3 linked regions of the Rattus norvegicus genome follow. The protein of the gene in region 3 purifies or fractionates together with the protein of the main gene of each other region. This does not show direct contact. Links are inferred from orthologs where the notes say so. Each region holds a gene or a part of one and is shown on either strand. Other genes may lie near its edges. The genes, in order: Arhgef2, Ppp6r3 and Ankrd28.

Region 1 (10,529 bases), on a different chromosome or scaffold from region 3:
AGATTGACCAATGGTTGTAACGCCTCCTGAGGACAGAGAAGAGGGTGAAATAGTACCCAGGCTTCAGGAAGGGTAAGTACTGGAGGTTATCAGGAGGGTGTGGAAATGGTGTCTAGAGACAGACTTAAGAGTATAGATTCTCCCCCCACCCAAACTGGGTTATGATTTCTCAGATAGTGGCTTTCATCTATCTCCTCTACCACAGAATTCCCATCTCACCTCCTGTGGTGACCTCAACTGATTTCCATTCCGATCCTACAGAAATGAACAAGAATGGGAAGTCAGCGGGCACAGACCTGGGAACCTTCCTCAGCAGCTGTCTACTGAAGATCCATAGGCCAGCTGTGCCCTTTCTCTGGCCACTCCCTGGCTCTCCAAGAACCCACCTTCTGGCTGGAATCTGAGTCTGCTCTACAGAGCTCAATGGAGCCATTGAAGGTTCTGGCCTCTCCGTCTGTGGCAGAGAAGAGAAGGAGGAGCAGAATATACTTGTACCTGGGGCCCCTCCTCCCTTATTAAGTCACTCCCATCTTGCTTTCATGCCCTGTACTCACTGGCAGTGACCCCAGGACAGCTACCACTGTCAGCTTCTACGGGTAAGGCTGGTTCTCGGGCTGTCAAAGGCAGGTCCACACAAGGGCCCAACAACAGGTCTTTCAGGCCTTCCACTGCAGGAAAAGAAATGGAGGGGACAGGAGACAAAACCCAGTGGGGATCCACCCAACACACATCATTTGGGTAGTGGGGTTTCAGTTGGCCATGTGGCATCCAAGAGACATCAAAGATGCACAGTGGCAGCACAGCCTGCCTGAGGGAGAGGCCTCCAACAGCAAGCTCAGATCTCTTCCCCTTTCCTTCCCAGGAATTAGACCAGGACAAACCCAAACCCCCCCATGGGTTGTGGTGTTGAGTGAACAGCCTAGGCTCTTCAGTGGCCTCACCTTCACGGAGGGCATCTTTGAGCAGACGCTCGCCTCGAAGGGACTCAAAGGACTCAAGACGGAAAAGGCCCCTGGGCAGGGTGGGCGGGGGCATTCCGATGAAACCAGCTTTTAATGCCTGGAAGTGGACCATCTCAGCAAATAGCTCAACATTCATCTGTAGCAGCTCCACCAGCGCCTGGTTTTTCTGCTGCAGTTTCGCTGTGGATAGGAACAGGTTAAGTGTGGAAGGACCAAGGACCCAAAGAGCCTGTGGAGGGCAGGCCAGGGACAGCAGAGGGGTAGCCCAGGGTCAGCAGAGGGGTAACCCAGGGTCAGCAGAGGGGTAGCTCAGGGTCAGCAGAGGGTCAGAACTTAATTCTTGGCCTGGAGCATTCCCAAAACCAAAAAATCGCATGTGTGGTATAAATCACCATTACTTTTGTTTATAAAAATCTATGAATAGGGACTGGAGTTTTGGCTCAGTGGTTAAGAGCACCGGCTGTTCTTCCAGAGAACCTGGGTTCAGTTCCCAGCAACCAAAGAGCAACTCACAAGTGTCTATAGCTCCACTTCCAGGGGATCTGGAAAACACACATGCAGGCAAAGCACCAATACAGGTAAAATAATAGTAAATGCATGCATCTTAAATATCTGTGAATAAGGGTTCAGGTTGACCATCTCATCTTCTTCATTTCCTTCAATTAGAATACTTGTAGAGGGCTGCAGAGATGGCTCAGTGGTTAAGAGCACTGACGAGGTCCTGAGTTCAAATCCCAACAACCACATGGTGGCTTACAACCCTCTGTAATGCGATCTGATGCCCTCTTCTGGTGTCTGAAGACAGCTACAGTGTACTTATATATAATAAATAATTATCTCTCAAAAAAAAAAAAAGAATACTTGTAGAGTGCTCACTCAGAGAGCAGAGTAACTTGCAGTTAGACACGGCATTTGGACTGTTTTGTTTTTGTTTTTGAGACAAAGTCTTGTGTAGCTGAGGCTGGCCTCAAACTCCTTATATAGTTGAGGCTATCCTCTGTGGTATTTTGAATGAGATGTTTTCATCAGGCATTTGAATACTTGGTACCTAGTGGGTAGCTGTGTGGGGAGGATTAGGAGGTGGAGCCTTGCTGGAGGAAGTAACTGGGGGCAGGCTTTGGGGTCTCAAAGAACTCAACCTTTCTCAGCTGGTCCAGTGGTCACGTCCGCCACCCGCTGTTCCCACCATTATGAACCCTAACCCTCTGGAACTGTAAGCCCAAAAGAAACCCTTCCTTCTCTGAGTGGCTTTCTTTGGTCATGGGGTTTTATCACCACAATATAAAAGGAACTAGGGCAGACTTGAATGCCTGATCCTACCACTATGGATCCCAAATGCTGGGATGACCAGTGTGCACCCCCACAGCTCTCATTACAGGACAAATTTAACCTTTTTTTTCTTCACTTTCGTTTGTTTTCCGAGATAGGGTTTCTCTATGTGAATAGCCCTGGCTGTCCTAAAACTAGATTTACAGATCATTTTAGCCTTGAACTCACAGAGATCATTCTACCTCTGCCTCCCAAGTGCTGGGATTAAAATCGTGGGCCACCAAGCCCAGCAGTAACCTTTATTTTTAATCATATGGGTGTTCTGCCCACATATATGTCTATATACTGTGTACATCTGTGCACCATGTGCAGGCAGTGCCCTCAGAGGCCACAAGGGGACACTAGATGCCCTTGGGACAGAGAGATAGTAGTCTATTTTACATATACCAACACGCGCGCGCGCGCACACACACACACACACACACACACCCCAATACACTTCACATTGTTTTAAACCCAGCTCTTTTTCATGTTTATTTTGGACAGACTCTCAGCTCACATGAAGCTTTCACTTTCCCTGAGATCATTTTATTCTGTGTGAGTTTTGCCTGCTCATAGGTATGTTCATCATGCATGTGCCTGTGAATGAGGTGGCCCAGGGCATCAGAGATCCACTGCACTGGAGTTAAACGATTGGGAGTCACCAGGCTGGTGAGAATCAAACCTGAGCCCTCCGATGGAGAAACCATTGCTTTCAACCTGTGAGTCATCTCTCCAGTCCCTTTTTGAGCCAGCCTTTCTGAGAGCAGCATGGTATTTTGTGTGGATACGGTATAGATCAGCCCACTCCCTGGAGGGAACTTACTCTTGATCCTCCGGAGGTACGCCTTATCCTCTGTCTCGATCAGAGGGAAGTCCTCCCTCGACGGGCATCTGCAGAGCGACAGGCAGGTTGGTTTGTGGGAGACACTAACAGTCAGCGTTCTCTCCTTTGCACATGACCCTCCTCTCATACCGTGGCTTTAGTCCCTCTTGGCACCAATCCTCATCTCTCTAACTCAGGCTTACAAAGGATATAAAAAGCCTGCATCCACCTCTAGCTCTGGTCGCATCATCGGGAGAGCCATTTTGTCAACTTTTGTTATTGTTGCCAACTTCTGACTCTCTGTGGGTTGCAGCATTGATGTATGTGGTGCTGGGGGAGGGGCCCAGGGCTTCCAGAATGCTAGACAAGCACTCTAACAATTGAGCTACAGCACTAACTGTGTGTTGGGTTTTGGTTTGGTTTGGTTTGGTTTGGGTTTTTGGACAGGGTTTCTCCTGTAGTCCTGACTATCCTGGAACTCACTCTGTAGACCAGGCTGGCTTCGAACGCAAGAGATCCACTTGCCTCTGCCTCCCCAGTGCTGAAATTAAAGGTGTGCACTACCACTGCTGGGCCTATTGTAGTTTTTAAGACAGGGCCTCAGCCCAAGCTGGTCCTGAGCTCCTCATGCATTAAGGTTGGCCTTTAACTCTGAATCCTTCTGCCTCCACTTCCCAGGCATTGGGAATATAGGTGTTAATGCCACACCAGGCTGTCCTCAACATTTTGGATAAAACGTGTTCAATTCACTAACATCAATGCTTCAATCACCCCCATTCTTTCATTTTTAGAAAGTAGAGGTAAGGGCTGGAGAGATGGCTCAGCGGTTAAGAGTACCCGACTACTCTTCCAGAGGTTCTGAGTTCAATTCCCAGCAACCACATGGTGGCTCACAACCATCTGTAAAGAGATCTGATGCCCTCTTCTGGTGTGTCTGAAGACAGTGACAGTGTACTTATATGTAATAAATGAATAAATCTTAAAAAAAAAAAAAACTAGAGCCTTCTTCCTACTGCCAGTGATGTATGAGGCTGGCACTATGTCACTGGCTGGCAAGTCTGCCACCACCAAAGAGCTCTACACAAACCGTTGTCAGTTCAGAGTGCTTTGGAGGGATAGCTGGGTTATCTGGATATAAATTACAACTTTTCATGTGATTTCTCTTATCTTGACTCATCTTGTCTATTCCCAGCTTCTGCCCCAACCTCTCATGATGAGTTAAGTCCCCGGAAGTATTCCACCTAGGACTGGAAGCCGTATGTACACGCAGGCACACACTCACAAGCGCACGCTCTGCTGGATGACACGGATCCAGGTAGTACGGTCATCTCGAGATGCTGCGTGTACTTCATACATTTCAGGTGGGCCAGAACTGATCAGAAACATCCCTTTCGCCTGGTTGGCAATGTCTCTTACGATGAGATTCTGCAAGGATACCACTGAGGGCTTGTCCTGTCGGGGAAAAGGGAAGAATTCAGCCAAGGCACCCTAACCCTTAATATCTGGGTTTCAGTTCTAGAATACCAAAAGGATTGAACATGGTGATACATAACCAAAACCCTAGGCATCAGTACCAGCCAGGACAATTTAGATGTGCGTGTGGGTCCCTTGATACATTCTCTGTCCCTCCTTCCCTCCAACTTCTTCCCTTCCTCCCTTCTTCCCCGCCCCCTCTCTTCTGGGTCTCACTATGTAACCTAAACTGGGGTTGAACTCACTATGTGGCCCCGAACAGCCTCAACGTTGTGACCCTTGGGCCTCTGCTCTCCCAGCACTGGGGCTTGTGCCTGCTTTACTTTTGCTGTAGTTGCTGTTTTTGAGATAAGGTCTCACTCTATGACCCTGATGGGCTTGGAACTTGCTATGTAGACAAGGCTGGCTTAAACTCAGAGATCTACCTATCTCTGCCTCCCAAGGGTGGGGTGAAAGGTCTACTCTACTGTTCCAATGGTAAATTTACTTACTTATTTAGTTATTTTTTAGATGTGGGGGGTCTCATGTCGTCTAGGCTGGACTTTGAACTCACCGTGTGGTTCATGACCCTGCACTCCTGATCCTCCTGTCGCTAACTCCCAAGAGCTGACATTACAGGCATGGACCGCCAGGCACTAAACTTTACCTTCGTCATCCACAAAACGAAGTTAATGACAGCTTCCCTGACGGGGCAAACCTGCCCGAGCACAGCAGCGGGACCTGGCGGCTATCTCACGTTTCTTCTTTTTTCTTCTCTCTCTTTTTTTCCCAGAGCTGAGGACTGAACCCAGGGCCTTGTGCTTGCTAGCAAGCGCTCTCTACCACTGAGCTAAATACCCAACCTCCTCACTTTTTTTTTTACATAGATAGGGATTGGACTCAGCAAGACTTTCTTGGGCTGGGTAAGAAAATGGATGAGAGAACAGAGGAAGGCTCACCAGGGACGTGAAAATGTACTTCTGGTCCTTTTCCTGGAGAAACACCAGCACATCTGTCATCAGTAGTAAGAGGACATCTGGCCAAGACACAAAGTGGGAAAATGGTCAGCACTGAAGGCTCAAAGCAACTGTTTGCCCCCTCTCCGAGGACCAGGCACACCCCCACTGGGTTCCCCCCAACCCCCGCAATTGCTTCATCTTTTCTGACCTCTGACCTCCAACCTCACCATTTTTTTTCCCCAGAGCTGGCTAAATCCCCAACCCCAACCTCACCATTCTTTTGTTTTTCCTTCAATATTTCAAGACAAGGTTTCTCTGTGTAGCCCTGGCTGTCCTAGAACTCACTCTGTAGATCAGGCTGGCCTCTAACTCAGAGATCGCCTGCCTCTGCCTCCCAAGTGTGGCCACCACTGCCTGGTTCAACCTCCTCAATCGTACAACATGGAAATAGAGGGGACAGGGGTTGGGGATTTAGCTCAGTGGTAGAGCGCTTGCCTAGCAAGCACAAGGCCCTGGGTTCGGTCCCCAGTTCCAGAAAAAAAAAAAAAAAGAAGAAATAGAGGGGACAAGTTGCCGATGCCAACACAAAGGAACTCTTGCCTCAGAATTTTTTTTTTCTTTTTTCTTTTTTTTCGGAGCTGGGGACCGAACCCAGGGCCTTGCACTCGCTGGGCAAGTGCTCTACCGCTGAGCTAAATCCCCAACCCCCCCCCTTTTTTTTTAAATCGGCCAGTTTTAGTCAGGTGTGGTGGTTCCAGCACTCACGGGGAAAAGGCGGGCAGATCTCTAAAAGTTTGTCAGCCTGGTTTACAAATCAAGTTCTAGGCCTGCCAGCAAGATATTGTCTGAAAAGAATAAGTAAAAAATAAAAAAGAAAGAAAAAGCAAAAATAAAAAACACCCAATTAATAAATAAAACCAACAATAACAAAAAAATCTAAGTCACCCAATTCTGATTCTTTGAAGTTTATTTTGTATGTGTGTTTTTGCCTGCGTGTGTGTCACATGCATGTAATCCCCACAGACGCTGGAAGAGGGCGCTGGATCCCCTGGAACTCAAGTTACACAGTTGTAAATTGTAAGCTGCAGTGTGGGCGCTGAGAACTGAACCCAGATCCTCTGCAAAAACAGCTCTAACCACTGAGCCATCTCTCCAGCCCGACTCATGCTTCTTAACCTAGGGTCTTCAGCCCCCCCCCCACCAGAGTAGCCATGCTTGCTTCAGAAACTCTGTAAACCGGCTGCTGTTACACAAACACTTACACATTAACATACAGGTTCAAGTGATCCTCCTGCCTCAGCTCTCGGATAGCTGAACTACAAGCAAGTACAAGCAAGGACTTGCTTAATCCAAGATATTTCTAAGTCACAGGATTCCCAGAACAAGACAGGTTGTGCTCTTTGCCTTTAAGTTGTGTCTGACATCTAATGCAAGCACCTTTTTAGGTGTTCTAATACACTGACATATTCCTGTCTCTTACTTTTTGCCAAAGAGAGGGACAAAGTAAGTTTCCTTCCAGGAGAGCAGACTGAAGGCCACCCCTCACCCATGACCTGTGACTGATCTCATGTCCTCTAACCCCAGCCAGCCCTGCTTCAGTTTCTTTCTCCTGCCCCACCCTCCAGGCTTTCAGACTGTCATGGCTCCTGTACGCAGAGGAAGGGAGGAACCAAAGACCAATTCTTTGAGACCTGAATGGCACAGTTAGGAACACACAGTCACCCTTTGCCTGTGGGGATTCTTACTAAAGCGTGGACACAGGAGGGGAGGGCTTTCGCTAATCACTCAGAAACAGAGCTCTCCAGCCTTGCTATTTTTACCCCTCAATGCTGGGTATTCTTAGCTGCGGCGTGGGAGGGATGGGAAGGAGAGAGAGGGATGGAGGAGAGAGCCTAGTAAGGACTAACAGGACGCAAGCCCTAGGGGTAGGAATTTCACAGCATAGATGTGATTGTGTATGGGCTCTGGCTTCGGGTACCCCCCACCCTTCACCTCTAAAACCGAGGTTTAGGGGTGTTATTTTCTTGTCCTGATTTAGGGGCAAGGATTTTAACTGTAGATAAATTCTAAAAGGTGAGCCTGGGATAGTGCACCCTGACACTCCCATCCCCACCCCCACCCCAACACTGCCCTGTAGTCCCATCTCCATTCTTCAGCCTCTCAGTCCTTCCCCAGTGTTCAATTCTCACTCTGGGTCTCCTAGATGCATTTCTGTTGCGATTCTGGCCGAAGTTTGTGCCTCTTCAGCACTAGGTTTCCCTCTGATTCTCACCCTTGGTGAAAGGCTGTAAAAATAGTCCCTATGGGGACTGGAGAGATGGCTCAGTGGTTAAGAGCACTGACTGCTCTTCCAGAGGTCCTGAGTTCAAATCCCAGCAACCACATGGTGGGCTCACAACCATCTGTAATGCAATCTGATGCCCTCTTCTGGTGTGTCTGAAGACAGCTACTACTGTGTACTTTAAAAAAAAGGTGGCTGCAACTCATACAGAATAGGACCACTGACCTTTAAAGCGGCCTGTGGCTGTCTTCCAGAGCAGGCAGCCATCATGGATAAGTTTTCTCCGCAAAAGTTCATCTCGGCCGAAGGGGCCCTTGCCAGGAACAGGGGTCTGAGCCCGAGGATCCATTCGGTTGTAAATCTCCTGAAGGCGGGCCTCTTTCTCCAGCTCGTGTACATCCTGGTCCACATTGGACAACAACTCCTTTACTAGCCCTAGGGCTGCTGCCAAGTCTTGGTACTCCTCTTCAATCCCTGGTACCAGATGTCCAGAGTGAGAGATAGTTTAACCAGTACCACTCCAACCCAACTCTACCTGAGCCTGCTCACTGCTCCCCACCAATCCTGCTTCTTCCCCTGGATGTCCCCAGGCAGGCCCTGCCCCCATGCTCTTCCTCACCATGGGAATTCTGCAGGATCCTGTTGATGAGCACTGGGTATTTGGTAATCCGCTGAGTTACCAGGAGAATGCACTCCTGAACCCCATGCCGCTTCAGCACAGCAGAGCGGGTCATTTTCTGTAACGGAAGATGAAAGACTAAGGGGACAGAAAGACTGGAGTCCAGGCTCTGAGGCTGGCCCACCCTGGTATCCGCCCCATGTTGGTCTAGGCAGACAGCTTCTCGGAAATGAGTAACAGAATGTCACAGGTCTGTGGTGACAAGCAAACCAATGATGGCATGAAAACTAGACCAACATCCTCTTGCCCAGTAAGGGGTGACTGTTGATTTAAGAGATGCCTTTAATAGCAGTACAGGAAGGGAGATAGATCTCTGAGGTTTTAGGCCAGCCGCATCTACACAGTGAGTTTCATGACAGCCAGGGCAGCACAGAGAGACCATGTCTCGACAAATGAAAGATATCTAGGGGCACAGTTCACAAGGGTGTTGAGGGACTGCCCTCTATGAGGACACAGCTCCCATATGCTACCCTGGGAGAGTTTGGGTTTGAGCCATGAGAAGGCTGGGCTTGGACTTGGGCTTGGAGAAGCTTGCTCACCCGGATGAACTGTTGGAAGCGTTTGTCTCGAGCGTACAGCTCCTTATAGAGCTTTAAGGCCTTGGTGTGGCGGCTGCAGAACTCTGAGTAAGTCTTGCGCATCTGCTCAGCGTTGGAACCTGAGAACTGGAAGCCAGGAGAGCAAGACTAGGTCAGCACTTCCTACAGAGCCGCACCGCAGCCCTCAGCACACCCCTGGCCTTCTGTTAGCTTCCTCCTCTCCAGCTGTTCCCTGCTTTGCTTCCTTCTGGCCACCAGAGTTTGCTTGGAGGTAAGAACTGTTTACTCCTTGGCCAGCAAGATGGCTCAGCAAGTAAAAGCACTTCTGACAACCTGAATTCAAACCTCGCATGAGGGGAAAGAACCAACTCCCAGAACTGTGCATTCACAGACAGGTTCACGTGTGTCTTCTCCTACCTGGCTGATGAGCAAGTCACCCAAACGATGGATGACAAAGTTCCGGGTGCTGCCTGGACACAGGGCCTGGCGCCGCCGTTCCAAAAGCTGACTAAGGAAACGTGTGTGAATGTCACTAAGCTCGTCCACACAGGGGAACAGTCCCTGGACCACTTCTGGCTCCATCTGCAACTCTTCCAGCATCCCAGTGCGGAAGAGGCGGGTCATAATCTTCAAGGTTCTCACATGGTGCAGCTCGGTCTGGATCAGCTCTGCGAGACAAAGGAACATGGGTCCCCTCTGTACTCTACCTCAGGCACAACTCATGGGGCCCTAGAGAATCTCTTCCAAATTAATGCTTGTGCCGCTGTCAACTCAGACCACTTCCTTGTCATTTCAAGCAGTAGACTAGGGGTTGGGGATTTAGCTCAGTGGTAGAGCACTTGCCTAGCAAGCGCAAGGCCCTGGGTTCGGTCCCCAGCTCCGAAAAAAAGAAAGAAAAAAAAAAAAGACAGACACTGTCTCGGGGTAAAAAAATGTAAGAAAGAGAAATTAAAATCACACAGAATATGTTCTCTGATCATCATGGAATTAAACTATAAATAAAACATAACACAGTCTCCAAGCACTTCAAGCAGTAGACTATTTTAGAGCAAGAGTCCTGTGTATTAGGGGTGTAGGTTTCCCAGTTCCTGGCACAGTGTTGGGCATGGGGGAGGCAGAATGAAGACTGAGGACTGAGTTGAAGAAGAAATATAAGTGGGGCCTTGGAAGCTGGGTACGGTAGTACGTACTCATAATCTCAGAACTCTGGGGGCTGAGGCAGGAGGATGGAGAGTTTGAGAACAGCCTGGCCTCCATGGTGAGACTCTTATCTCTTAAATAGAAAATAAAAAAATCCCAACAGCACCAAGAAGTAGGTGCACAGGGACAAGCTGGTGCCAGCTGGGTACATGGAGGTCAAGGATGAGATGAGGGTGTCCCGACAGGTAGGTGACAGGGAAACGACACAGGTAAGCAGAGCCGTTGGCATACCCTGGTTAACAAGAAAGGGACAGGGGACCAAAGTGCCCTTGGCGTACCGTAGATGACATCTTGCTTCTTCATCACCTCCTTTTTATGCTGTT
Region 2 (10,529 bases), on a different chromosome or scaffold from region 3:
GACCCAGATCTACAGAGACACACAAAGAAGCAAGGTGCCTCTATCTGAAGTCTTGCCCTGCAAGTCCCAGGGCATCAGTCTCTAATACCCCATTGGTTACCTAAGTCACCTTGACAGACCCTAGCTCTGACCTATCAGATAAAGCAAGCATGATGGGGCATCTTAGCAGTGTGTGCTCTGCAGTGGATAACCCCCAGCAAACCCTTCCTTTCATAGTTTGGTCCCTTAAATCTTTAAAACTACAATTTTAATGGAACTCTTTTTTATTGAGATATAGGTTTTCTTTTGAGACAGGATCTTATATGGCCCAAGTTATCTAGTACCTAAAATCCTCCTGCTTCAACCTACAGAGTGCTAGCAATATAGGAATATACAACCACAAGAGAACGGGGATCAATTAAGGTATGGTTCCAGAAGGCAAACACCCAAGGAAAGCCTTATATACAGATTATTCAAATCTCCCTTGAGTCCAGTTTCATGTAAGAGGTCTATCTATTCAAGCTGGACATATCCTAAAATTGTAACTGAACTTATAAGCGGGCCCTTTTCATGTATCCCCATTCTTCCCGTTTGACCCTCCCACAGGAGGCACACTCTTAGAAAGTCTTGTCCTGCTTATTCTAGACGCAGCTTTAGGATAAATCCTCAACTTACTCATCGTCAATGTAACAAACCAACCAGCAAAGGGCAAATAACACATCTAGGGAACTAAGCATTCTGAGTCCTAGTTCTACAAAGTCTGAATGTCAGCTGGGTGTGGTTGCACATGTTTTTAATTTTAGCACTTGGGAGGCATAGAGCCTTATCTCTGAGTTTGAGAGGAGCCCAGTCTATAGAGTGAGTTCCAAAACAGTCAGGGTCACAATGAGAGACCAGTCCCAAAGAAATAAAATAAAATTAAAATCTGAATCTTTTCTGTTTTGAGACAACCACCTCCTTGCTTCATTCCCAGAACCCCTTATCCTGTAGGATTCCCCCAGCACACAGGAGTAGTCCAGGAGCCCACATAACTGCACTCCCAGCCGTTCAAATCTCTACTCACATTCAGAACATCTTGCCTGGGCTGTGGAGGCTCAATACATGTCAAGAGCCTGAGCAACAAATCCATGATAGCAGAAGTTCCTATGTGCTTTATAATGAGATCCACAAAATCACGCTTCTTTTTCAAGAAATCCACAATCTAGAGGAAAACAAATCAAACTGAAAGATGCATAACTTGAGACATACAATCTAGAGTGACCAATATTCATCAAATCCTGCCAGTTAGCTTAAGAACAGGCCGTTACAGCAAGTACATGGTGAATTTGGCTAACAATTGCAATATTCAAAACCCTTAAATAACATGATCTCTTAAACCAACATGCGTCCCCATTACAAATAAAGCTGCCTGAACCTTAGCCTTCTGTTTATTTTCATTGTTCATTCTCTAAGAACATGTATTAAAAAGTCCCACAACACTGCAAACAGCTAAAGAACATTCTATTTGGGGCTGGAGATGGTTCAGCAATTAAGAGCACTTCTTCTAGAAGACCCAGGTTCAATTCCCAGCACCCAAGTGGTGGCTCAAAACCAACTATGACTCCAGTTCCAGGAGATTCAACACCCTCTTCTGGCCTCTGTAGGCACCAGACATATATACATAGTACACATACATGTAGGCAAAGCACCCATATACAGAAAATAAAACAAACGTTTAAAAAATATGCACTATTTTATGAGACAATCTTATTAGACTTAAAATCAAAATGTGTAATATTAAAAATGAAGGGAGATTCAAAGCAAAGATGTTTCTAACACGAGGTGACTTAGGCTGCACTCGTGCATATGTGACCAACAAGAGGAGGTTGGGAAAAGGGGGCTGTGCTGAGTGGGAAAGAACTAGGAATGGAAATGATGCTCTGTCCTACACAGCTTCCTATGTCTTATTTGTGTCTGTGAGCCCAGAGCCCACAGCATCTGCTAAAACCCTACCACACATACTGGGAGAGCTTCACAAGGTGGTAGGAAAGTTTGCCACAAATTTTCACTAAGCCCTGGAAGGTGAAGATTCACTGTTCTAGATGAGAAATCCTAGCTCAGACATGCTAGTATCTCCTACAACTAAAAGGAAACTGTCCTGGGAGTTAAACTCAGATCTGCACGCTATGAAAGTCACAGGACTTCTACCAAGCTGCACAAAGAAGACCAACAGCCAGAACAGCTAGAACTACACCCGCCAAGTAGCTTCAAAGTGAGTCAGTGTACTGTTTGTGTAGACAACGATGTAAAATAGATGCACTTCTTCAAGGAGTGGCAGCCATGCCATTCACAGCTGATTCCTACAGAAGTCTTTGAAAGGAAGGGTGAGAGGAGGAAAAAGTCACACATGGCCAAACTTCCCCACAATTTCATGGCAGAAATACTGGTTCTAGGGCCTACAGGCACAAACCTTAGCTGGTGCTATGGACACTGCAGCATGGACCACGAGGCCTATTTATACTTTAGATTTCATTGGAAGACTAAACCACTCAACACTGCCAACAGTTGGATACCCTCTTCTAGAGGCTGAATAGTACCTTTCTAATTAAGCCATGTGACTGTGGACTTTTGTCATCACTGGCAGTGCCTAAGTCCTAACCAACACTACCAAACAACGGGAAACAAGTTTTTGTCAAAAGACAAAAGCAGCTATACAAGCAACACTCCTGTACTCTCATCTTCCAAGGAATCCTAGCTACACAAACAAGGTGACAGGACTCTTCATTTAGGGTTCAACTGACATATATCATCATTGTCAAGACAGATCATAAAACTGGCTCTGAACTCTGGTGTCAGTAACAGAGAGACTCAGAAAGTCTCCCACATATTTTCATGGTTTATCTTATACGCTGCAGAAATCATAGCTCATCAGCCTGGGTCTCGACAGCAGATGTAAGGATAAAAACATACTGAAGCCTGCCTTACTAATGGAGGTAGCCATCTCTAAACTAACTATGCCAAGGTATGTGATGGCTTGCAATTGCCAATGATACTTTGATTTCTATGTGGAGGGCAGAATGGGAGACAATCTACACTACTGACACCATGACTTGGGGACTGTGACTACTGTGACTCAAGGCAAATTATCTTCCTCCAACACACTTGGGAAAGTTGTCTTATTCAAATAAAAATCTTATCTGAACAAAAAGAACATCATCCTTCTGAAATAAAACATGGGCCCAGCCTTAACAGAGAACAGAACATAATGGGCCCAAAATAGTTTCAGCCGACCACAGAATAAGACCAAGTAACTGGGGACTATTGTCTACCATGAACAACACCAGGTCTGACTGGCTTGACCATGTTCACCTCTGCCTGCTGCATCTGATAATCTGTCGGCTTGCACTCAGCATCTGCTGCTCTAGCTATTTCTTGGAAGTGAGCACCCTTTCACATCAATATCCACTAGAGCGATGTTTTCTCTGATTCCAGCAAGCAACATTGTGAGCTGAAAAATGCACTAAACCCCTCACTGTCAAGACCCCTGCAGAGCAGGGGGAGGAATCAACTTGCAGTGCTTAAAAAAAGAGTTCTCAGGTGATACTGGTGACACTGATCCAAAGGTCACACTTCACCAAGTGACACTCCTTGGAAAGTGGCATTTCCACATAAATCTGAATTAGTGGGGAAAGCAGAGGTCAAGGGGTGGTAGCTGTAAGAATATTGAGGTGTGTGCCTCTATCCAGTGCAATACACTAGGAACTGCTGGGATGCAAGGGTATCCAGCTAAGCTAAAATAAATTACCACTGTGTACAAAGCACTAGTCAGCTTCACTTTCGGGAATACCTGATTCTACCTTCTCTCAAGATCATCATTTGGAAACAACTAAGCAAAGCCAACTGTTAAATCCAAAAGGTCATTAGATACACACCCAGATTCAGCCTGCTACTCTCAAAAAGATGCTTTTGATTACGAGTTCAGAGAAGAAATCAAAGTATGCTAACAAACAGAGCTAGAGCCTATCAAAGAGTATGTCAAAGAAGAAATATTCCTTAATGTGTAAACCAGGGTTGCTCAAACTGATGAAGACCTAAAACACACTCTCTTGTTGAAAATGGACTTCAAGCATGCTCAGAACACTGCAACAAAGTTTCTGGTGTCACCTTGGGGATGCACAGCCCAGATACTTACCTTTGGAAACAGTATTTACCTGTTCTGGTTTTCTGCTGATAAGAATACTTAGCACCTTGCTGAAGAAACTGGCAAGTAGTGGGTTCAAGGGGGACTCATTTAGGAGGAAGCTATATAATTTCATTAGCAAGGACTCATCTTCCCCCAGTCTATCATTCATCTGGGAGACATCAGATGTGAGCAACTCACAAGATATATTTGGATACCTAGAAGAACAGGACATTACATTATCATCTAGTGGAAACTTTATCACATTAAGTATAGCATACACCAGGAAGGTCTCCTAAAATTCTATCAAGTCATCAAAACCATATACAATGAATTAAGAGCACCTTCAATCCATTTCATCCAACCTCTAAGTTAAAAGACATTTTCTACTTTGTCTAAAAAATTGCCTTTAAATCAATTGTTTGTAAGAATTTGTTTCTGGGCTAGAGAGATGACTCAGAGGTTAAGAGCAATGGATGCTCTTCCAGAGGTCCTGAGTTCAAGTTCCAGCAACCACATGGCTTACAACCCACTCTGTTTTATTATGTCATTTCCTACTTAAATATAGCTTCACCGCTATTCACCAAGACCCACGCAACTCACACCTAAAACTCATGCGAGGAAGGGCTGACCTTACTATCTGAGCAATGATGTGACTAAACCTTTAGACAATCTTGGCCCGTCATAGACTTCTGGCTTCCTATCTGGAAAGTAGAGAAGACACTTACTTGAATGTCTAACTAATATGAGAAGTTTGTCTATTATAAAGCATGTTGTACGTCTGGAGAAGATTCAGAACATTTTAGATGCTTGTGACTCACTGTTGTTGGCTCTAGAATCAATTGTGTGCTCCATAACTGTGTAGCTCTTGACCATCTTGTCCATAGTTCATAGTGGCTCTAGGGAATTCTTAAACATCAAATAATCATTTTCTACCCCACCCTAAGGCAAAGACGTCATTTTCTTACTTGTATCGGATCTTTTCATCCATGTCTTGAGGTGGCTCTTCTATAATGAATGAGACTAAGTCTTCCAGACATTCTGCTTTTAACAGAAACTCTATGAGCTTTCGGTTCTGTGCTTTACATTCCTGTAAAACGTCCTCCTCGTCCATTAGCTCCTTCAGTGTTACATCTTCTCTCTCTAGAAGCGTGTCTATGTGGGATGATGAGTGAAGATCAAATTTCCAAAACATGCTGTTCTAAACGAGACAAAGAAAGATTTTCATAAAATTCAGGCTTTACTAATTTTCCACAAACCAAATTTCAGTTCAATTTTGATCTACAATGCCAACTTGGCATTGACACAAAAATAAAGCAGTTTCACACTTAACTTGCAAAATGATTTAATGAATAACACTAGTAGGATTTTTTTCTTTCTTAGAAAAAAATTTTAAAGAATTTATTTATTGGCTTTCTTTTTAGACTTTTTAAAAACTTTATTCACTTTTATTTATATGTGCATGACCTGCACGGAATGGTCCTGGAAGCCAGAAGAGGCTGGTAGATTCTCTAGGACTGGAGTTAACAGATATTTGTAAGCCACAAATGGGGCTGGGAATCGAAATTAGATGCTATCACTCCATCCCAGAAAATATTTTCAGTTGGCTAAAATGTTGAAAATGCTGAATACAAAAGTTTGGAATGATTTTAACCTGTAAAAGCATTTCATCCAAGTCAGCCTGGCACATACCCAAAACTCTTAAATTTTCAAGAGTGAGACAGGATGATCACAAGTTCTTGGCCAGCCTGAGCCACACAGCAAGAATCTGTCATCCCCCACCCTCCCCCGTCAATAAAAGTAAGAGGAAAAGAAGTAATTCATTCATACTTTAAGAATTTTTATGCTGGCTAGACACAGTGGCCTGCATCTTTAATCCCATCATTCTAGAGAAAGATTTGAGAGGATCTCTGTGTATTTGAGGACAGCCTGGTCTACATAGTCATCACCAGGATTCTATACAGACGCCCTGTCTCAAAAAAACAAAACAAACAAAAAGAATGCTGAAGGAGGATATCATGGCTCAGCAGGAAAAGGAGCTTGCTGACAAGTCTGAACACTAGAATTCGATCACCAAACTCCAGGGTGGAACGAGCTAGATTTTCCAAGTTGTCTTCTGACCTCTACAAGCATGTTGCCCATTAATTTAAAAAAAAATTTTAAGCAAAAATATTTCATACCTCAAATTCTACCACTTGGAGGGCTAAAGCAAGAAAATTACTGCATGTTCAAGTCTAGTCTGGTCTAAAAGAGAAAAACTGGAGGGGGAGGGGGAGAGGGAAGAGGAGAAAGCAGGCAGGCAGGGAGACTGAGAAACAGACAGAGACAGATAAAGATCAAGAATGACAGCAACTTGGGGTTGGGGATTTAGCTCAGTGGTAGAGCGCTTGCCTAGCAAGCGCAAGGTCCTGGGTTCGGTCCCCAGCTCCGAAAAAAAAAAAAAAAAGAAAAGGGGGAAAAAAAAAAAGAATCACGGCAACTCTTTTTTTTTTTTTTTTTGAAGGATGAAGAATAGATTCTTCAGAGAATTGCCATCTTCAACAACAAATGAGAATGAAGAGGCATAGCCAGAGCTTCCCTTATAACAGAGGAATACCACTGTAAAGCTGCAGGTGACTTCCCTTATAACAGAGGAATATCACTGTAAAGCTGCAGGTGACTTCACTAATAGCTAAAAGTCATAGAGTACCAGAAAAGAACTAAACTTTACAACTTCAAGAATTAAGACAAACTTACTATCCTAAGTCACTAAGAGAAACAGCTGACAGTCAACCCCCAACAATACTATAGTCTTTCCTCAACTTGGTCTCCATGCCTACAACCATGAAATGCTTGTTCTTCAAGTCACAGAGCCAAAAAGGCATTCGTTTGTTACGTATGGAATGTGGAAGAGGTCTCACAGGCCACTTCTAACCAGAAGGTAATAACAAGATGCAGCCATCCAGCACCAGGTCTCTGCAGCAACAGAACCAATCAGTCCAGGTATGCTAGCCTCTGAAGGGGTCAGAGACTTCCTTGAGAGTTGAGGCACAAGGCTACCATGTGCTCAAACAAAAGCTCTCCATCAGCTACAGCTTAGCCACCCACCCAGTCAAGTGCATCCTGGAAGGACTACCACCAGAAAAGCTCACCAATATCTACATGTTTTTACAAGCAAAAGGAAAGGTCCTACCTATGTAAAGCGGACCTACCTTTATACCTGTATGTTTTGCTAAATCACCCATACTTGATGTTCTCAAAATCACTTTCTTAAAGTAGAAAATTTAGGAAAGGGTGATGGCACTTAGTGATCCTAGCGCTAAGGAGGCAGAGATGAGTGGATCTCAGTTTGAGACCAACTTGGTCTACAGAGTGAATTCTCATGACAGTCAGGGTTAGACAGAGGAACCCTGTCTGGGAAAAAAAACACAAACAAGTAATAAAATAAATATAGAGGAATTACAGAGGCAAACTTTACTCATGCTCCTAGTCAAAGTGACTGACTGACCCAAAAATGAGAGCTGAAAAGCAGACTGTGCACAGTGGGTTGTTCCAAGGAGCGTCCCCTTCACATGGCAGGTGCTGAGCCTGACTCTCCAACAAGCAACCTCATTAAGAAAAGTTCAAGAAACCTTAGGGAACAGTTTCATAAAGCAATACTGCTAAGTGTCAACTATCACCAAAGTCAGTTTATAACACCTTTACATGCTCTCAAGGACACTGGCAAATCTGCTCACAATCTTGAGCTGCAAGAAGACTAAGAGCCAAGGAAGGACAAACAGCAGCTGCTCGGTTCACATGACCCAAATTCACACTCCTCACTTGAAAAGGATACATGAGGGGTGGGGAAGCAAACAACACAGCTCCACCGGGAGGAAACAAGGCAGAGGCCCCCAGAGAAGCACAGCCTTTCCCTATGCACACATTATGACAACAAGCTAGATAAATGCAGCTCCCAACACAGATGCAACAAGCACACAAGCAAGTGACCTTCCCCGGCTCTAACAGGGTGCAGGAATGGACCTGCAGAAGCTCTCTAGCAGTCAGCAGAAGGTATTTAAGCAGCTGCCTGATTTAAATACAATGCTAAACTAGTTCTGACTGGGAAGTCATTGCAAAAATGGCAACAAGTAACAGAAAAGCAGTCCAGAAAAAGCCAATACAGGGAAACCTTAAGAAATATATATATACTGCTTTGGTTTTCAGATTTGGGGAAAATGGTCAAAACAAAAAGAAAACCCATGTCATTTTATCCTAATCAGTCAATAAGCACAAACAGTACCATAAGATAATATGAAAGGGGAAAGGGGAGACGATAGACGGCTCAGCCATTAAGAGCATTGGCTACTCTTCCAGAGGATCTGGGTTCATTTCCCAGCACCTACACAGGAGCTCACAAACTATCTGTGACTACAGTTCTAGGGGATCAGACACCCTCACACAGGCATACATGAAAGCAAAACACCAATTTACATGAAAATAAATTAATTTTTAAAAAGGAGGGGGGAACAATGGGGGTTTTTCTTTTTTATATTCCTAAAGAGAAAGGGGAGAGACTGTTCTTGTTTAGGGGTACAAAGTCACACCATCAGTATTATCTTAAATTTTCTACTAAAGTAACTACAGTTCATTTATTTGTAAATCCTTTAAAAACCACAAACTTTTTTAAAGTGCTTTTTTACAGCTTCACTACTCCAGTGTTATAGGACAAAAGATTCAAGGTCCTCCTGGGCTGCCTATCAAAGGAAGAACTCAAGAGTACACAGGCTACATACAGATGGCTGCAAATGAAGTTACCACTCTTACATTATGAATCAAGTAGATTTACCCACACCAAGTAAAACCGCCCAAACCATAGTCTTAGTCGGGAAATGCAGCAAATATGGGATTTAGAAAAAGAGTGATTAAAACAAAAGAAGAAAAGAAAAAGACTGATTAGTTACAATAAAGTAAGAACCGGGTGGGTTAGCGAACACACCCAACCCAATCCAACCCACCACCTGCCAATTAAGAATGGTTTTGACATTTTTTAATAGAGTTAGGTTTGAGGGAAGGGGAAGTGGAACAAGGAATGTGATAGAGATCATCTATATCTGGTCATTCACAGAAAGTCCAGTGTCCTCCAACCTATAAGAAGAAGTTCCTCCTGACATCTGTATTCTAATATCTCCTGAACCCATCCAGGTATCTATCTATCCCAGGGCCCCAATCTGCCCTGCAGCTAGCTTGCTCGGCCCTCCTGGCTCCCAGGCATAGGATGGTATCCTGCTGCATACACAGGTAGGTATTGGGTAGATGAGAAACTCAACTATGCTGTGTCATTAGTCAGAAGACCTACACACATCCCTTCCCCCTTTACATTTAGCTTTGTTAATGGCCAGAATGGCCCTAAAAGCTTATATAAGTAAAAACAAAAGAGGTCTTGAGGCTCAAATTGACACAATGGTAGGAAACTACCTGGAGACCTAATCCTTGCCCAGGCTATTACAATCCACTCGAAACAATATGCCCAGTGTCCAGCAGGGTTATAATGGCCTTCCTACTGGCCCAGCCTTCTAATCCCCTAACCCAAAACTGTTTTGAATTACTTATCTAAAATACAAACTATTTTAAACATAAAATTTAACACAGAGAAAGGAGAATTTTTTAGCATTTATTGTAAAATGACTGATTCCTTCATCAGCACACAGCAGAACATGGAAGTATGTACTCACAGTGAATGTTCTTCATATGCTCATGTCACTATCTCAACACCAAAGCGCAGGCATGGTATGCACCTATTCTACAGCAAGCTGAGTGGACACAACCAGCACTGGCAAAGTGGTTGTCCCTGGGCTGGTACCCTTTGAAGAAAAATGAAACTAGATACAAAATAACAGTTACCCTCCCTCAGGTAAAATGCAGTTTTGGTGGTAAATACCTTTAGTGGGCAGAGCTCTGAGTTTGAGGCCAGGCTGACCTGTAGAGCAAATTTCCAGCTGATCAGGGACCCTGCCTCAAAAAACAAAAACAAAAACAAAAACCAGGGATGGTAGCCTGAAACTATAATCACAACACTTAGAAAGCCAAGGCCAAAAGAGTCTAAGCTTTAGAGGCTAGCCTGAGCTACATAGCAAGGGATCTTGTCTTAAAGACCAACGACACAAGCTAAAATTTGCAATGAAACTAGAGTTAGAATTAACAATAAAATCAAACCAAAAAATATTGGGGATGGGGGAGAAAACAGAATTGAGACAGGATCTCATACAGTCACTTATGTAGCTAACTGATCCTCAAGCCTCTTCCTGAAAAGTGCTAGGGTTACAGGTATGCAGCATCATGGACCTAACAAAGTGTTTACAGGACACAGAAACATATTTAAAATCCACAGTTTAGCTTAGTGACACTTACTTATGGATAAGAAGAAATTCAA
Region 3 (10,629 bases):
CCTCTTCCTTTTGTAATATGCCCTTCTAAAACTTGCTTCCACTGTCCAAGTGCTGGTATTACAGGCACCATGCCCATTCCTATTAAAACTTAAAACGTAGTGATTAAATGCTAGGTGTCCCAAACCATTCCAAGACCTAGTAAAGTCCAAAATCTATGCGCATACACACATGTACACTCTTGCTGAAATTTGATTTTATTTGAGGCTCAGCTATGCTGTCCATATCGAAATTCTCAGCCAAATACTTACCATAACACGGTCACTGTTACCTTGGCCATCCTTTACAACTACACTTAGCAAGACTGTCTCCTCGTTATCCTAGCATCTTCTTTCCTGGCCTACCACCTCATTTTTCTCTTGACATTTTCAAGCACAACTATTTGTTTCTGACACTGACATATACTTTTGGTGAACCTAAAATAGTTCACTTTCCCCAAGAGTTTCTGACTATAATCTGATGCTTTCTGAATTCTGAAACATGTTACCATCTTTTACGGAACATGATAGGTATTACATGAATGACATGTTATTCAAAAGCCACTGATAAAAATGAGCTTTTAATTTTCAATTGTCCATTACATTTCACTTAATATAATCTGTTTTCCTTCAACTTTATACATTTTGCTCTTGAAGTAACTCACATAAAGGGTACTTATGTAGCCTTTCCCCTCTTTTAGCTAATATTACCCTTAAGGGCAGAGATTGTGTCTCTTTCTTCTGTCCTGTTAACAAAACAAAGAGAACTCTAATACAGAGTACCTGAACATACGAGCATCAGTGTTCTTCAGCATTTCATGCATTTTGTAAACATAATTATAAGGTATCTCAAAGTTTTAGTCACTGTTCTATTGCTGAAAAAGAGATACCATGACCAAGGCAACTCCTATATAAAAGAAAGCATTTAACTGGATGCGTGCTTACGATCTCAGAGGCTTACCTCTGAAATCATGATCATCATGGTGGGAGCGTGCCACTGGAGTAGCAGTTCAGAGCTACAACTTGATCCACAGGCAGAAAGATTGATTGGAACTGGCATGGGCTTTTCAAAGTCAAAGCCTACCCTCAGTGACACAGATCCTCCAAGGCCACACCTATTCCAACAAGACCACACCTCCAAATCCCTGTAACTTTCAAACAGTTCCACTCCCCGGTAACTAAGTATTCAAATCTATTGAGCTCGAGGGGTTCTTCTTAGTCAAACTACTGCACAAATATTATCTCTTCTTTTTCCCCTACTCAAGAAAACCCTAATCATGCTCAGTTCTTAGTAGATCCTTGAGCAAGCAAGAACTTGTACCATACAAAATAAGTTTGCTATAAATTTTTATGTAGATTTTTAAATCCATTCTTTAAAAATTCATCCATTGTAACCACACACAGTTCACACACAGTTCAGGGCCACCCTGGTCTACAAACCAGGTTCTAGGATAGCCAGGGATACAGAGAAACCCTGTCACAAACTGCCCCCACCCAACATTGAAGTATATAGTGATGCGCATCTTTCATTCCTTTACTCAGGGGATGTCTGTAAAGGAAGATCTCTGTGAGTTTGAGGCCAACACAGCAAGTTCTAGGATAGCCAGGGCTGAAACCAACCACTGACCTAACCATTATGTATTGTATAATATTTTTAATTATATCTCATAATCAGGTACCTAATAGGGGTCCAATTTTTACATGGGGGACAAACAGTATTTTAAGAAACCTACATACCAGGCTGGAGAGATGGCTCAGTGGTTAAGAGCACTGACTGCTCTTCTAGAGGTCCTGAGTTCAATTCCCAGCAACCACATGGTGGCTCACAACCATCTGTAATGGGATCTGATGCCCTCTCCTGATGTGTCTGAAGTCAGCAACAGTACTCATAAATATAAGAATAAATCTTTTTTAAAAAGAAAGAAACCTACATACCAAATACAAGTAGAAAAAATTTAAAATCTAATATTAAAACCCACTACCCTTTAGTATTACTGCAAACAAAATTTAACTCCAGTTATAAACAAATTCTGAAAAAAAACAGAAAAACACTATTCAACACTAATGTTAAGTAAACTTCAGGTACAAATAAAATGGTATAAGTATTTTTAAACTTTTTTTTTTGCAAACTCTTAAGCATGTTACAAAAGTTTATGACGAGGGTTAGTAATGTAGCTCAGTGATCAAGTGTCTACTTAGCATAATGGACACTTGGTTCCTGGATTTGAACCCTATACATACAAAGACATACAAAGTTATGACCAACAGATTAATACAACATGAATAAACCTTTACAAGTAAATAGACATTTACAAAGTATTTGCAAAATGAATCAAATGAAAAACATAAAGAGCCATATGCTAGATGATTCCATTTAAATTAAATATCCAGAACAAGTAAATTTATAAAAAGTAGAATATTGATTACCAGGCATAGAAAGCAAGAGAAAGCTGAAAATGACTGCTAATGGTCATGTGGTTTTTTGGAGTGGTAAATGTTCTAGAGTTAGTGGTGATTACAGTTTTGTGAAACACACACACACACACACACACACACACACACACACACACACACACAAACCCACAAACAAAAAAAACAACCCCACTTATTTTAAGAGTGTAAATCTTATGGTATACAAATTCTAAATTTTTAAAAAGGTTTATGACCAGGTTGGTGGTGTGCCTGCCTATCATGGAAGAAGTCCTAGATCCAATCCCTGGCTACACAACACACATGCACACACGCACACATGCACACGTGCACACATGCACACGTGCACACATGCACACACACACAAAACACTGGGGAGGAGGGGGTTGGGGGTTTATGACCACTGTGGTCCTTTGTTGTCAAAGAACACTCGGTTTAATATGAGAACCATTTTTGGAGTTTTTCTCCAACTCATCTGAATTAGCGTTACACACTAGTTTCATACTAGTCCTCTTTTATACCCTGAGTATTTACTGTTGTCACTGGTAGTTACATACTAACATCTATAAATAGATTTTTCCCTAACAATCTGGACTTCTGATATCCTAAAGGAAAACAGAATTTCAGAAATACTAGACACACCTGCACAACAAAGGCTCAGGGCTGAGCAGTGACTAGCATGCCTGACACTAAGGTCATGATCTCCACCACTCCCCATCAGTTTCTACATACAAGTGCCAGTTGCTATTTAGCTTCTGAAATAGGAAACCTAAACAAAGACCAGCAACCTTCCTTAATAAAACATAATGCTTATGATTTAAAATGTAACCATATATGAATAATTTTCATCACCTAAGGAGAAAAATAGCCAGTGATAACCTCAGGAGAGAAAAATCCTAACACTGTTACGGATGAATGTTATATAAGCCAAATTAAAGTAATTCAGGAAAAAAGTTCCCATCTACTGTTATCAACAGAAAACAAAGTTTCATTTTACTAACAATTTAAAAAATATTTTCATCTACTCATGGGCAGAAAGTAATACAATAATTCTTTCTTATCCCCTTAATTACATGCTGCCACAAAATAAATGCTGTCATATTCTGACTACAGAATGAGGACAATTTCCTTTATTTGCTTAATGATTTTATATCTGTCTTCACTGTGTATCTTTCATGTATGTGTCTGTGTTCCTGTGGGTGCCCATGTGCAAGTGGAGGCCAGAAATCAATCTCCAGTGTCATTCTTCACAAGTAAAAGTAAGTAGACTAGGCTGGCTGGTTAAGACGCCCAGGGATTTACCTGTCTCTACCTCCCCAGCGCTGAGATTACAAGCATGTGCCACTGTGCCCAGGTTTTTTTTTTTTTTTTTCTTTTCTTTTTTTTTTTCGGAGCTGGGGACCGAACCCAGGGCCTTGTGCTTGCTAGGCAAGTGCTCTACCACTGAGCTAAATCCCCAAACCCATGCCCAGGTTTTTTATGGAGTTTTTGGGAACCAAACTCAGATTCTCATGCTTTTGTAGATGTGAGCTCTTTACTGATAGTATCATCTCTCACCTCTGATTTTATATCTTTACGTAGAACTATTCTCAGACTTCAATGTTGAAGAAAATCCTTACTCATTCATGTCTAGCTTCTTTTTATTATTCTTTGCAAGGTTAAAAGTGATATCAACTACCTTCCATGTTTAAAATCCTGTGTACATATCCAGATCTTCTCACCCTTCCTCCAAAAACGACTTTGTCCGGCTAATGTGCTTTTCATACAAATGGAAAACATTAAACTGTTGCATCCCACTCCCTTTCTATCATCATTTCCAATGTCTTTTGACATATCAATACATAAACTGATTCTAAAGAAAAGGTGCAATTCCCTTTATATTAGACAAAACAGACTCTTCAGCTTTTGTCTTTCAAAAGAACCAGATGAGCCAATTTTTCAGTAGTACAGTAAGTCTTCCCCAGCGAGGCCATCTCATTAACTTAGTCAAGCATTCTCAAGTTTACAGGCGACATTTTAAAGATCAATATCACCACTGGGTATTAACAAATATTATATAAAACTGAGTCAGTGTTATGACTGCTTCAAAACTCTAGTTACTCTAATGCAAAGATGCAAATGGATTTTTATTTTTTATTCATGGTTTTTATAAATAGCCTACCAAATCCCTAATACACACAATGACCAAATCACAAAATACATTTCCAAAACTGAAGGAAGGATTAGAACAAATATGCAGGTACAAAGTGTTACTACAGTAATAAAGATTAGTTGAAAATCTAGATCTTGAGTTTTATGGTATTAGCTATGTAAGAATTAGATGATTTGGGCTTGAACGCTGCTTGTTATTAACAGGTTTTTTTTCCCTGACAGAACTTTGTGCAATGAGAGGCTTTACTGTATTTAATACAGTAACCGAGCGACCTGTAGCTAGTTAGCACTTTTGAAAAGCAACTAGCACAATTATGAAACTATATTTTAATTGTAATCAGCTTAAAGACACTGTGCGTAACTGATGTAACATGCTGAACAGTAAAGTTATTCACATAATTTGAAATACAAATTTATCAACCAGTTTTTCAAAGTATCATAAACTATTGTTAATATCAGCTAAAATGATACGATAAAGCCAGCATTCAGCTTAAATAGAATATTCGCTTTTGAAATGAGAAATTAACATTAGCTAGATGCAGAACTTACGTTTTAATTGGTAGAAAAGTATATAAAACATATTAAGTTTTCCCCTATCTTTTTGTTAAGCCTGTGTCCTCTTTCTGAATGGTTTCTCAATCCATGCAAGTAACTTTCCCTTCAAATCTGTTCCGTATCTCCTATTCAGAAAAACAATGGCAAAATAGGTACTTAGCATTAATAGGTTCCCACGACTCTGTGAATTCCACTGGTTAATTTCCCTTTTCCTTAGGAGAGACGTTTAACACTGGGGAGCGTCTGCATCTCCTGAAAGTCTTATGATTCACCTTCCCACCTTTTTAAGGGTAACAAGCGTTCATTCAGACATAGTTGCGATTTCATTGGTAGATACAGTGTTATTTTTCCCAGCCCACAAGTGTCAGTCTTTTGAGCACTTCAGGTGTTCTTTGACAAGCTCTTCCTAAGTCAAGAAAACTAAACCAAGATGGTGCAGAATATGCCAAGAGAAAGAGTCTGGGGATATGCACGGTAACAACTAGACTCCAGCAGAATCAATCCGGACTGGTGGGTTTGCTTTCTTCCGCCACCACCTCTCCGCAGAGACAGTGCGGTGGACCGTGAACCACCCCACGCGGCGAACCCGAGAGCAAGGTCGTGACCCCGGGACACGGCCGCCGCCAGCACCGCTCCTACTCAGCACCGCAAAGCCACCTGTTAGGCCCGAGCCTCACCTGGCAGGAAAGAGGAGGCGCCTACCCGGCAGCGCGCCGGACGCGAGGGCGGCGAGCGCCGAACCCGCCCCTGTGGCCGGGGCCGCGATCCCCCGGCGGCACGTGGGTTTCTCGGAGCTGGGGCTGCACTGACAGGCGGACGGCCCGCACCGCTCCCGGCCCGGGACACTCTTCCCTCGCTGCCACCGAGCCGAGCGGGCACCCGGGCGGCCCACGCCGCGGGTACACCCTCCTCCGGTTCCTCGGTGGCGCGATCCCGCCCTGCCGCCCCTCACCTACCTGGTCGCGGAGTTTGAGGAACGCCATGGCGGTCGCCTCCGTTCCGCCACTACCCGCGCCCGGCGGGTAGGTGGCCGGCTACGTTGAAGAGAGCGCGGGCAGGGGGCGGCGCCGCCTCCCCGGCCGCCCGCCGCCGCCGCGAAGAGCCCCGCCGGTCCCGCCTCCTCCACCGAGGACTCCCGCCCTCTTTCTTCCGTCCTTTCTCTCCCTCTCCCTCTCAGCCACCTCCCACACGCAGCCGCCGCCTTCGCCGCCGCCTCACACCCCCTTCCCGAAATACCCTGGCAGCCCCCGCCGCCGCGCCGCTCCAGCCCGCGGCCGCGGCGGCATCCAAACTCCACTCCACAATATTACCACCACCGCCCGCCGCGATTGGCGGCCGCGCGGGGGAGAGGCCAGAGTAAGCCCGGCGCCCATTGGCCACGCCGCCGCGCTCGCTCGCGCCCAGGCCCCGCCTCCCCGCCGGGAGAGGGGCGGGGCACAGGAAGCGGCGGCGCGCGGAGCGGGCGGGCCAGGTGGCCGGGTTTCTGAGCGCGCGCCCCGGGCGCGGTGGGAGGAGCCGGGGCTGGAGGTGGGGAGGGACGGAAACTGGGTACCGGGTAACGGCCGGGGATGGCACGTGGAGGTGGCGTGCACAAGCTCAGCTCAGTCAGGTGCGGAGAAGGCAGCCGGAACCGGTGCGAGCGAGGGAGACCTCGGAGCTGATGCTTCTTCCATCAGAATAGCGAGGGCAACGGGGAACCGGACTCGCACGTGGAGCGAGAGTGAGAATGCCTCCGCGGCTCTGGGAGAGACGTGTACGTGGGGTTTGGGGAGGGACTGCTGGCACGCGGGATTGAAGGGCGTGGCCTTCACAGCCTGAACAGGTTGGGACCACCGAGCTTTTCTCTCCAAAGCGCCCCTTTCAATCTTGCATGTGTTTTCCCCCTTTCTTCTTTATCATCCAAAGGGTTTTGCCTCCCACTCGAGAGAAATCAATTTTTTCAAAAAGATGTGCAGGATTTCCAATAAATAGCATCCTTGGATGAAGAAGAGGAATGACTCTCTCGCCCTGGCACACACACCCACGCCAACCCACAGCTCAGAAAAGGCTTTTCTTTCTTAGGCAGCCGCACACTGTTACCATTCTAGGCTTGTGTGGGAGAGGATTGTTGTTCTGTGTCTGTCAGCCTGGGCGGCTCCAGCCCCTGATTAATAAAAGGTACAGATGGTTAGAACACAAACGTGAGATATCGGGCTTGGTTTAAAAAAAACAAAAAACAAAAACAAATCTCATCTTTTCCCTGCATTGGCGTGTCTCTTGGGACAGACTTAATTTAGAGAATTGATTTGAGCTGATTTGAGCCTAATGGCAGTCTAGAAAAATGGGGATCTGTGCCAGGACTGTCACTTTATTATAATGCTGCTATTAAAAACAACTCTTTAGCCCCACAAGAAAAGAAAATATCAAAGTGCAAGATCAAATGCAGTAAGAACCTTCCAATATTTCTTAACATAACTATGCCATAATTCTGCTGAAACATCCCTTTTCTAAAATTACATTTTTACCATGGATGGTATTTGCTACTTTAAAATGGAGGAATACTCATAACTGATGGAAGAGGCTTAGTCAGGGAAAAAAAAAGATTCTTGCTTTGCATTTTCTTCAAAGAAATTTATTCCTTTCTGCATCAACTCTGGCCAATGATGAGGTTTCTGTCACTCCCATGTCTCTACCAGGGCATTGAAGGTGAATGAGTTAGCAGTATGAAAGCTTTTGACTTCTTCAAAACAAAGGTGCTGTGACGACATTACTACAATATTTTGTGATTATAATTGTCCATGTGCTACAGCAAATAGAGTTTTACCTTCCTCGAGGATGAAAGATTTACTCTCTTCTGTGTATTTGCCTGTTTAACACTGAATGTTGACTCAGCAATTAATACAACTGAACAAACGCCCATCCTCAGTAAGCTCTCCTCTGGGTTAAAGTTCTACAATTTAAAAGCACAACAGGTACTTGATTAGGAACACAGCACAGACTGACTTGGGGAACATACAAGTGGTTTTGAGGGTATGGGTTGAGATAGCGGACCAAATGTGTATTAGGATTGAAGTGATGAAAATTTCTAATGAAGAGTAACTGGTGAAAGTATTTTACAGCATTCAATCTCTGCACTACAGAGTGTGTGATCGTGCTGCAAAGGTGCTCCAGTCCTTGGTGGGTTCACCTTTCTCCGTCTTGAATACTTTAACATCTTGTATGTCTTACTCGCTGTTTTTTTTTTTTTTTTTTTTTTTCGGAGCTGGGGACCGAACCCAGGGCCTTGCGCTTCCTAGGCAAGCGCTCTACCCCTGAGCTAAATGCCCAACCCCTCGCTGTTTATTTTTTAAAAAAGAAAGGTTAAGCTTAATATTACCAAGCCTACTCATATCACACAATCAAGCAAGATAATAATATGAAAAACTGGGAATTCTTAAGGACCACTCAAATTCAATATCAGTATTTTCATAGCTGTTGAGATAGTAGCAACTATTGCTTCTGGAAAAAAATAGAAATAAAACTTCTATATAATTAAGCAATAAATTGAAAAATATTTGTGTTCAAGTTTCATTAACATTAAAAGATATTCTTATTCTTGCATCTGTTAAAATTTTAAAGAGCTCAGCCAGGTGTGGCAGCATATGCCTTTTGTTCTAGCACTTGGGAATAATAGGCAGGTAGATCTCCATGAGGATGAAGCTATCCTGATCAATATAGCAAGTTCCAAACTGTCCAGGAGTCTACATGGTGATAACCTGTCATAAATAGACAGATAGGCTGGCCAGGAGGCTACATAATGAGACCCTTTTATAGATGGATAGATAGCTAAATCTGTGTTCTTGAAATGTACTACATACATCACAGTAACCAATAAGGAAGCTAACCGGGAAGCTACATAGGGAGACCGTGTTATAAATTAATAAATAAGATAACTATATTTCTGAAAAGTTCTGCCTACATCATACACATAACCAATGGGACTAAATACTAAAATGATATCAATAAAATCTCTCTCTCTTCCTCTTCCTCCTCCTTGTCCTCCTCCCTCTGTGTGAGTTTGTGAATGTGTGCTTGTGTGTATCCTTGCAACCTTGTAGAGGCTCGACAGAATGTCTTCCTCAATCACTTTCTGCCTTATTGTTTTTCAAACAATGTCTGTCACTAAACATGGAACTCCCTGTTTTGGCTAAACTGTCTGGACAGTAAGATTTGGAATCCAAACTTGGGTCCTCATGCTGTGCCATCTCCCAAGTCTTACATGTATCTCTTTTTCTGTATACCATTGATACTTCCCAACTGCCCTGTTCACTCAATAAGTACTTTTCATAAAAAGAGTCAGAAGTCCTAAGAAGACTCAAATAAAGACTGACTGTGGTTAAACCCATTTGCCCATGCCTTAGCCATTCACTACTGCCAAGTCTGAGAACTGATGTAGTCGCCATCAAAACTTGTGTCCAAAATAAATAGCACAGATAAGATCACCAAAGAAGTTACTGAAAGCTAAGCACCACACAAGGTTTTATTTCCTAATCTACTACATGTTAGGCACTTAAGTCTTCTTATATCCCTGACCTAGTGTAATTTTCATTGGCCTTTCCATATTGCTACCTAAAGGGGCTAACTGTGCTCAGGTTCACCCACCTTACCCTGGCAGGACCTAATGGCATAATGCACTTAAAAACCAGAAAAGCAGCCTTTGTGGTAGGAAATAGACAGCTGTGAGGGGTTCTTTTGAGCCAGATAATCCCTACTGCATAAAATGATTTTTCTAAAGAATTAGAACTATCAATAAGATGCAAATAATAGACTGTCAAAGCAGCAGAGGGGAGTTCAGAGCCACAGGAGACATGACAAGAGCCAGGTGTTTATCTAAAGGGGTTCAGAAAGTAGAGACTGAATGGACAGTCATGCACATAAAGATAATGCCAGAGTTTTTCAGACTCGAAGAACACCATGAATTAAAGAAGAAATGGAGTCTCAATAGGAATAAACTTAAAAATGAAGCCTGTAGGTAGTAGGCAATGTCTAGAAAACCAAGCAGAATACAAAGATGTAAAACTTCACACTGAAGGAAGTCAGACATACCTAAAAGGAATGGCAGTCCACTTGTCAGCAGACATATCAGCAATACTGCAGATGAGGAAAAAGGTCTCTGAAACACCATACTGTGACTCCATAACTGAAAAACTAGTTTATCTGTCTAAAAAAACCAGTTTACCCAGAGCTCAACTTAGCTTCATTTTCCTTTGCTTTCAACATCAGTGATAATTGTCTGCCAGAAACCTAACCTTTTGATGGATCAAAATGGTTGCTGTGCGCAAAGCTTGTGCACACTCATTTTTCACATTTCCACTAGTCTGTCTGGTTTCCAAGACCTGTACCATAGGCCTAATGCTAGCTGCAAGAGAAGCAGAAAATGAGAATTCTGAATGCTGAATCCAAGGAGGCAGGATTTTTAACCAGGAAGTTATCCTACAATAGAAGGAATATTTAAAATGTATGTCAGTCTTGAATATAATAAATTGTTATTGACATGAA

The links.
Region 1: the proteins of Ankrd28 (region 3) and Arhgef2 purify together in Homo sapiens (affinity purification with mass spectrometry; 3 studies listed by BioGRID and IntAct, with this or other methods). This does not show direct contact. The link is inferred for Rattus norvegicus from reciprocal best matches to the Homo sapiens genes ANKRD28 and ARHGEF2.
Region 2: the proteins of Ankrd28 (region 3) and Ppp6r3 purify together in Homo sapiens (co-immunoprecipitation; 3 studies listed by BioGRID and IntAct, with this or other methods). This does not show direct contact. The link is inferred for Rattus norvegicus from reciprocal best matches to the Homo sapiens genes ANKRD28 and PPP6R3.

Annotation. Positions count from the first base shown.
Region 1 is NC_086020.1:176,400,945-176,411,473, reverse strand, and holds part of Arhgef2 (rho guanine nucleotide exchange factor 2), read right to left. Parts: coding exon 10,485-10,529; intron 9,675-10,484; coding exon 9,424-9,674; intron 9,133-9,423; coding exon 9,007-9,132; intron 8,526-9,006; coding exon 8,408-8,525; intron 8,263-8,407; coding exon 8,014-8,262; intron 5,585-8,013; coding exon 5,508-5,584; intron 4,549-5,507; coding exon 4,379-4,548; intron 3,165-4,378; coding exon 3,097-3,164; intron 1,143-3,096; coding exon 942-1,142; intron 669-941; coding exon 555-668; intron 455-554; coding exon 387-454; intron 256-386; coding exon 220-255; intron 27-219; coding exon 1-26. UniProt on the Homo sapiens protein: Activates Rho-GTPases by promoting the exchange of GDP for GTP.
Region 2 is NC_086019.1:210,183,817-210,194,345, forward strand, and holds part of Ppp6r3 (serine/threonine-protein phosphatase 6 regulatory subunit 3), read right to left. Parts: exon of another isoform or gene 10,038-10,529; intron 5,340-10,037; 5' UTR 5,334-5,339; coding exon 5,107-5,333; intron 4,357-5,106; coding exon 4,170-4,356; intron 1,181-4,169; coding exon 1,043-1,180; intron 1-1,042.
Region 3 is NC_086034.1:7,050,185-7,060,813, forward strand, and holds the start of Ankrd28 (ankyrin repeat domain 28), read right to left. Parts: upstream 6,410-10,629; 5' UTR 6,096-6,409; coding exon 6,069-6,095; intron 1,898-6,068; exon of another isoform or gene 1-1,897. UniProt on the Homo sapiens protein: Regulatory subunit of protein phosphatase 6 (PP6) that may be involved in the recognition of phosphoprotein substrates. Involved in the PP6-mediated dephosphorylation of NFKBIE opposing its degradation in response to TNF-alpha.